Linked DNA regions of Tribolium castaneum. The protein of the gene in region 1 interacts with the protein of each later gene in a biochemical or structural test. Links are inferred from orthologs where the notes say so. Each region holds a gene or a part of one and is shown in the gene's direction. Other genes may lie near its edges.

The links.
Region 2: the proteins of E3 ubiquitin-protein ligase MARCHF6 (region 1) and ubiquitin-conjugating enzyme E2 J2 form a complex in vitro, tested with the Homo sapiens proteins (2 studies listed by BioGRID, with this or other methods). The link is inferred for Tribolium castaneum from reciprocal best matches to the Homo sapiens genes MARCHF6 and UBE2J2.

The regions. Positions count from the first base shown.
Region 1 is NC_087399.1:3,029,829-3,034,444, reverse strand, and holds the start of E3 ubiquitin-protein ligase MARCHF6, read left to right. Parts: upstream 1-1,509; 5' UTR 1,510-1,711; intron 1,712-2,912; 5' UTR 2,913-2,916; coding exon 2,917-4,616. Other genes in the region: elg1 (ATPase family AAA domain-containing protein 5), read right to left, coding at 1-1,172. UniProt on the Homo sapiens protein: Endoplasmic reticulum membrane-associated E3 ubiquitin ligase that plays a critical role in mitigating endoplasmic reticulum stress, the regulation of cholesterol and lipid homeostasis, and ferroptosis.
Region 2 is NC_087398.1:6,629,560-6,632,945, forward strand, and holds ubiquitin-conjugating enzyme E2 J2, read left to right. Parts: upstream 1-1,442; 5' UTR 1,443-1,749; coding exon 1,750-1,868; intron 1,869-1,914; coding exon 1,915-2,149; intron 2,150-2,196; coding exon 2,197-2,334; intron 2,335-2,386; coding exon 2,387-2,572; 3' UTR 2,573-2,628; coding exon of another isoform or gene 2,629-2,710; 3' UTR 2,711-2,886; downstream 2,887-3,386. Other genes in the region: solute carrier family 2, facilitated glucose transporter member 3-like, read left to right, coding at 1-278, 323-586, 632-844, 888-1,103, 1,152-1,283. UniProt on the Homo sapiens protein: Catalyzes the covalent attachment of ubiquitin to other proteins. Seems to function in the selective degradation of misfolded membrane proteins from the endoplasmic reticulum (ERAD).

The DNA.
Region 1 (4,616 bases):
GCCAGCTTTAAATCAACTTTGGGTAAATCCCAGAAAATATTGTCGGATTTTTGCTGGACGTGACTTAACGACGGGAAAATATCAAAATCCGATTCTTCAGTACTAAAAATTCGCACCTTTTCCATCTCTTTTTTCAAAGAAGACGGAACACCACTCATCAAAAACTGTCTTCTTGCTTCCATTGCTTCCGGATCTAATTTTGGTTTTGGAACAGCTTTTAAGAAAACTGGTGCCACTTTTGTCTTCTTCTTCTTCTCATCGTCCGAATCAGAAAGTTGAAGAAAATCATCGTATTTTTTCGGTTTTCGGGATCGTAAAACTCTGCGTGAGGCATTTTCGTCGGAAACAGAGTTGGCTGGGTCCACGTCGAGTTCGATGACGTCAATGCCACTGTCACTAGACTGCGTATTGACAGGGGCATTTTCAACTATCACCACGTCTGCAACACTTCCTTGGGCATTTTCAACACTCTTTTGAGCATTTTCAACACTTCCTTGGGCATTTTCAACACTTCCTTGAGCATTTTCAACACTTCCTTGGGCATTTTCAACACTTTTTGGGGCATTGTCAACACTTTTTGGGGCATTGTCAACACTTTTTTGGGCATTTTCAACACTTCCTTGGGCATTTTCAACATTTCGTTGACTGTTGACAGACGAATTTTCAACATCACTCCTGTCATCCACGGCCAACTTGATCTTAAATTTCCACTTTTTGTTGGCAGTTGGTGTTTTTGGTGCCTCGTTCTCACTGTCACTTTCAATTACAACAGTTTTCCGCTTCTTCCTTTTAGTGACCACCTCATCGTCACTTTGACAATCAATATTTAGCAACTTTTTCAATCGTTTTCCCCGTTTCTCCAGCTTGTAACTGATGCAATTGCCGACTTCCTCGTACTCTCGTTTACGTTTGGCAGCCCCCTTGGCCTCCGCCCAGCTCTCAAACCGACTTTTCCTCTCCTTTAAGACACTTTTATCCGAGGCTGTTTCCGAGTCGTTTGCGTCAGGTTCACGCCCAGGGGAATTCCCCCCAATGCTCCGATGTCTTCGATTCATCATAAATTGAAACGCGTTGATTTTAGCCCCATTTGGGGAAGTTTCGGGGGTTTCTTCATTGGTGTGCTTGTTTTTCTTTGATTTTTTACCGGTCTTTATTGGAGTTGAATCTTTCATTGTTCCTAAATCATGTTTTGCTTCGATAACACACTAAAAACTGCACTAAAACACAATACAAAAAACTTGGCGCCAAATCAGCGCTTTGTTGACATTTTTTGTAGACTTTAAGGTTAGGTTTCTTGTGGCTAAGGTTACGTAACACGAAATTAAGTGTAATTCACAAACCAAGCCCCACAATTGATATTACGCGATTTGTGATCTTTACTGATACGAAACTGGGTTGTTTTAAGTCAAAATATCAGGGTAAAACCCCGCACAACTCATTATTTGTGTTAGTGACTGGTGGTTTTGTCAGGTTGGTCTTTTCCCGAACTAGCCAACAGTTGGCTTCCTGAGTGAAAGTAAACGTCAGTCTTGTGGTATTACGTCAAAAAATAAATTTTTTCGTCCTGAAAAGCCTCAAAACGCCTAAAAAATTGCAGTTTTTGTCGAATTTCGAGCATTTGTGATCACGCAACTATGGATCTTTGAGTCGGATCCGTAAATTACATAATGTTCTTCACATTCAAGTAGTTTCCTGTGCCAAAAAACATCAGGTAATTTTTTGTCCCAGCTTGTTTATTGTGTTGATTCTTATTAACTAATCAAAAAAAAATCAATTAGTGTGAGTTGTAATCCCTTGATAATAATTTCGTTTATCGGTGGATTGAAAATGTGGGCCATTCGAGGTCTCTGCCCCCAACACATGGCCTGCTAATTGCTAATTTACATAACTGCATCAATGGGGGCTCAATATACTTGAAAAATCCGTGTTTACGATTGGGGGAACTTTGATACGGCCAAGTGAATCATTGGAACAATTCCCAGATTTTTATGTTAAAAATAAATCCCTTGTGTCTGTCACACTACAGATAATGCGTTTTTTATCAGTTTTTGGGCATAATTAACTAACAACAAACGTTTTTTATTATTCTAATTGCAAAAGTAACCTTGAGATAAAATCAGTTGATTTGTGAACGCAAAAAATCGATTTGTTTTGCCGAAAAACAAATGAATAACGACAAAGTACAAAGTGGGAGGTTTGTTTTGTTTTCAATTCAATTGTTCTCATGGGTGTCGTCGCGTTTCGAACGTAGATAATGCAAATATTCAGTTTATTCCGGAATTGGACGATAAAGAAATCGACCAAGGACAGGGTCGGACTAATTAAAAATTGATTCAGTTCGATTGCATCACAATCATGGGAATGAGAAAATCGCAAGGAACGGTCAAGGTTAAGAGATACACAACTCAGTTTTTTCGAGAAATTCAATAATTTAAGTCTGTAAAAACATTCTGTCTCATTTGAGGGGTCTAGTTTCAGCTTTATGCTTTATTAAATTGTTATTAACTTTTCAGGAACGGAAAAAAACTTCATCTTTTGTAATTTATGCTTCTGTTTTGTTTGTTCTTTTTTTTCATATTATGGGGTGGCTCGTGCCTGATAGCAGGTCAAAAAAAAGAGTTGCCAGATTTAAACTTATTTACATCAGAAATGCTCCCAAAAAAAGAAGGGAAAAATAATGGACTTGCATAGAGGGAGAATCTAGTGGAGAGAGCATTAGCGGGAAACTCTGGTTTTTGCACAAACTTTTTCATGGCCACTTCCAAAACTTTCTGTTTAGTACAAATTTTGATCTAGTATAGTTAAAATATTAACCAAATATATTTGGAGAAAATACAGCTCCCCTCTGATTTTTTAGGAATGTTTTTTGATATTTGAGTTACTGTCTTTTTTTTTTTACTGTGTCTTTTCAGCGTAATGATGGACTCGGAACTGTCCAACACCGACATCTGCCGGGTGTGCCGTTCGGAAGGCTTGCCCGACCGCCCCCTGTTCCACCCCTGCATCTGCACGGGCAGCATAAAGTGGATCCATCAGGAATGCCTCATGCAATGGATGCGTTACTCGCGCAAAGAATACTGCGAATTGTGCAGTTATCGTTTCTCCTTCACTCCCATCTACTCCCCCGACATGCCACGCCGCCTCCCTGTGCGAGACCTCGCCGCCGGTCTCCTCTCCTCCATCGGAACCGCCATCAAATACTGGCTCCACTACACTCTAGTCGCCATCGCTTGGCTCGGAATCGTCCCTTTGACAGCCTGTCGGATCTACCGCGCCCTTTTCGCCGGCACTGTCGACGCCATCTTGACCCTTCCGTTTGAACTCCTCTCAATGGAAAACCTGGCATCGGACATTTTCCAAGGTTGCTTCGTCGTCACGTGCACGCTATTCGCATTCGCTGGGTTGGTGTGGCTGCGCGAGCAGATCTTACACGGGGGAGGACCCGATTGGTTACAGAGAGATAACGTGGGCGTGGCCGAAGATGCCCCACCTCCCGTCTTGAATAACAACATACCGGAAGACGTGGAGGAGAACAACGGACAGGAGCCAGAAGTAGCACCTCAAGGGGAGAATCAGGGGGAACAACAGGAGGAGAATGAAGTGAATGGAGGCGAAGACAACAATTGGATACCCATGGAGTGGGATAGAGCGGCCGAGGAGATAACATGGGAGCGTTTGTTGGGTCTTGATGGTTCTTTAATGTTCCTGGAACACGTTTTCTGGGTCATTTCGTTGAACACTTTGTTTATACTCATTTTTGCCTACTCCCCGTACCATATGGGTCTAATGACTCTTTCCCTTGTTAATATGAGGGAGGCGGCTTCGGCCAGTCATTTCGAAGGTTTATTGACCACTTTGGTCGGTTATTGCACTGTTGGTCTTTTCTTTGTGTTCTTCCATCGAGTCGCCGGTGTTTTGGGTTTTTACAAAGCTAAGCGCGTCCTAGGTTTGTGTTACGTGGTGGTTAAAGTATCGATGCTTTCGGTGGTTGAAATCGGAATTCTACCATTGGTTTGTGGCTGGTGGTTGGATATTTGCTCTTTGGCAATGTTTGACGCTTCGCTCAAAGACAGGGAGAGTAGTTTTAGTGCCGCTCCTGGTACTTCAATCTTCATCCATTGGTTGATCGGAATGGTCTATGTCTATTATTTCGCTTCGTTTGTTCTCCTCTTGCGTGAAATTCTAAGACCAGGAGTGTTGTGGTTCTTGCGCAACTTCAACGACCCTGATTTCAGTCCAATTCAAGAAATGATCCATTTACCTATCTTGGAACATATACGGAAATTGTTGATCTCGGCGGTTATCTTCGGTAGTGTTGTTCTTTTGATGTTGTGGCTCCCGATTCGAATTTTGAAAATCCTTCTTCCGTCTTTTCTCCCATATACAGTGTCCCTCAACAGTGAGACACAAGTGAATGAACTGTCCTTAGAATTGTTACTTTTACAAGTGATCCTCCCAGCATTATTGGAACAATCCCACACGAGGATCTGGTTGAAAGGCCTGGTGCGTAATTGGTGCCGCGCCGTTGCCTGGATTTTAAACATCCATTCGTATTTGTTGGGCAATAGTGACGGCCAATCGCCGAACGAGGCGGGGCAAGCTGTAGCCAATCCGCC
Region 2 (3,386 bases), on another chromosome or scaffold:
TCATCGTGAGTTTTGTCAGTCCTTCAAGCACTTTCGAATTGCTGATTTTCGGAAGAGTCCTTCTGGGTGTGTCGGCCGGAATTAACAGTGGAATAGGACCAATGTACTTGGTCGAAATCTCGCCTCACTGCCTGCGAGGCTTTGCCGGGAGTTGTTATTACCTGATTGTGGCTTTATCAATTTTCATGGCTTATGTTTTCACCCATCCTACGATAATGGGGGAAATCGAGACGTGGTCTTATGTTTTTGTCGTGTCGGGATGCCCGATTATAATTCAGGTAAAACAGTGGTGTTTTAGAATTTGAAGAATGCTTCTTTTAAGTCTATAATGCTTATATTTTGTCCCGAAAGCCCCAAATACCTCATGTTCGATAAAGGGGATGAGGATAGAGCCGAGGACGCGGTAGCGGACATTGAAGGGGAAGAAATCGACGAAGAAATGGACGATTTGAGGGAAGAAATGGCCCTTTTGGACGAAATTGGACCAGTGACAATAGAACGGCTGTTCAAAGATGAGACTTTGAGGAACCCTTTAATAATCTCGGCTGTCGTCATGTTGGGACAACAAATGACAGGAGTTACCTGTGTAAGTGGGCAAATTTTTTGAACATATTTTAAACCGTGCCCTTAGTTGTTGTACTTTTCGTGCGTAATTTTCGAACACCTGGGCTTCGACGATTTCAAAGCCAACGCAATGGCTCTAGGTCTAGCTTTCGTGAACTGGTTTTGCGCCCTTGTGTGCGTATTTGCGGTGGACAAAGTGGGCCGCAAGCCTCTATTGCTGGCTAGTTATTTCGGTATGGTGCTAACAGTGTTTTGTTTTACTCTCACGATGATTCTAATGGTGAGTGATTGGGAAAAAATACAATTCTTCATTTCATTTTTAGTCAATTTCAGTGCGACCTAATCAAGCCATTGACACAATCGCCGTCGTTCTGATTTATCTATATGTGATGTTTTTTGCGCTTGGCGCTGGTACCATTGGGTGGTTCTTTACGGCAGAAATTTCGAACCATTTCGCCAGACCCATCACCGTTTCTATGACGGTGATGTTGTACTGGATCGTCCAACTTATTTTTGTTGGGTGCTTTTTACCTTTTTGGGTACCACGTTGGCGAATTTGGGGCAATTTATTAACGAGTTTTTTTTAGTTCATGATTCACACTTATACGTTTTTGTTTTACATTATATTCGATATTGCGACAGTTGCTTTTCTCTTACTAACGCTAAGGGAAACCGCAATGGTGCCTAGTGTCGATATCACGGAAATGTTTTATGATTAAACTTTTCGCCGATGTCACTTTTGAAAATAAATTTTTTAAAAAAACCTCACGATGATTATTTTACATGGGAATCCCCGTTCATGTGCCGCATTGTTGGTTGCCTACCCCACGGTGATAAATGATGAAATTATCAAATTTTTAGTACGGTTTCGTCTTTAAATTATTTATTTATTTAGCTTATGATTACTTGTGGGCCTTTGTAAAATTCTGTTTGGCTTTTTTGGCAGAAAAGTGTTACGTCAGATGTTTTCGGGACAGTTCACTCTCACGTCATTTGTCGCTTTACCAATTTTTCGGAAAAACTCAAAAAAATCACTTGTTGTTTATCACCGCCCCGCGCCCCCGTCCCATCCTCTCGACTTTGATTGATTACGTGCCCCGAGCGATAAACACAGATAAGAGGCACAAATTAAGTACGTTTTGAGTGCTCCTAACCTCACTTTCAAGAATGTACAATTAGTTGAAAATGTCGAATCGCAAGACAAATAGTGCCACTTCGCGACTCAAACAGGACTATTTGAGGCTGAAACGTGACCCCGTGCCCTACATTACCGCCGAACCTCTACCCTCGAATATCCTGGAATGGTGAGTGCTGAGGCACCCAAAAGGTTTGTTTTCGAGCCAGTTTTAGGCACTATGTGGTGTGCGGGCCGGAAAATACGCCATATGAAGGGGGCTTCTACCACGGGAAGTTGGTTTTTCCGCGCGAGTTCCCCTTCAAGCCCCCTTCTATCTATATGATAACGCCTAATGGGAGATTTCGGACTAACAAGAAGCTGTGCTTGAGTATATCGGACTTTCATCCAGATACGTGGAATCCGGCGTGGAGCGTCTCCACAATACTCACAGGGCTTCTCAGTTTTATGGTAATGAACTATTTCCCAATGTACTTTTTCGTAATTTTTTGGTTTAGCTTGAAAAGAGCCCCACTTTGGGGAGCATAGAAACGTCAGAGTACGACAAGCGGCAGTTTGCCTACCACTCGCTTGAATTCAATCTCAAAGACAAGGAGTTTTGTGATTTATTTCCAGACACAGTTACCAAAATCCAGGTTTGTATCTGGTTATGGGGGCTATGCGATGTTTTGACCTTTGTTTAAATAGGACGTGCTGACGCAACGGAGTAACATGAATAATAACGTGGCAGAGAACCAGAAAACCTCTCGGTCAGTAGCAGAACCCAGCAATTTCCAATCATGTATTACTAATTTGATAGTATTTATTGGTGTTGCTGCATTTGCGATTACGGTAAAATACGTAGTAATAACAACGGCGTCTGAAGCTGAATAGGGTTGATAATAGGGTTGAAAAAGTCACATTTTAAGTTTACTTTTCTTTGGTTTTAGTTTTCGCAATTGTCAAGAACGGCGCAGGATATTTAATCTTTGTAGGAAATTTAAGAGACTTTTTTCTAGAGCACACGTTTAGGGTTCTTTGTAGTTTCAGCTGAACTTTTTTACTTAAAACATTATCAACAGTTAACGAACCTAAATCTCTCAATGTAAATAACTTATGTAATATATCATAATCCTAGTATTATTGTTATTAATATTTGTATCATAATACATATTGGTTGTAATGATGAATATATTTTTTCCCATTTTTCCAAGTGTTTCATTTCACGCACCTATCACTTATCAAGCAAAAATTTGTTCAAATGCGTTGTTACTTCAAGATGTAATTGATGAGTAATAACAGGTGTTTGATATCCAAAAATCGTAAATGACTAATCGATAAAATAAAAAAAACAAAACAAAGCTGACTCAATTTACTACTCCACAAATCAAACGTTCATTGAAGTAGGAAAGTCCGCTTCAATTTTATATTCCGGAAATAGGCATAAGGCAGACAAATAGGAAACAAAAGAATGAAAATCGAGCAAATACGCTCGAAAAAAAAACACGAATATATTGAATATATTGGTATTTTCGGTTCAAAAGACTTACATTTTAAGCCAAAAACCTGCTGCAAAGCTTAGAAAAAACACCATTTTTGACCTTTCGTGGTTTACGAATGAGTTATTTGGGTTGCCTACACAAATTTTTATCAGTTGATCTCGTTGATCCTATCCACAGATCATTTCTCAATTTTTTTTATTAATATT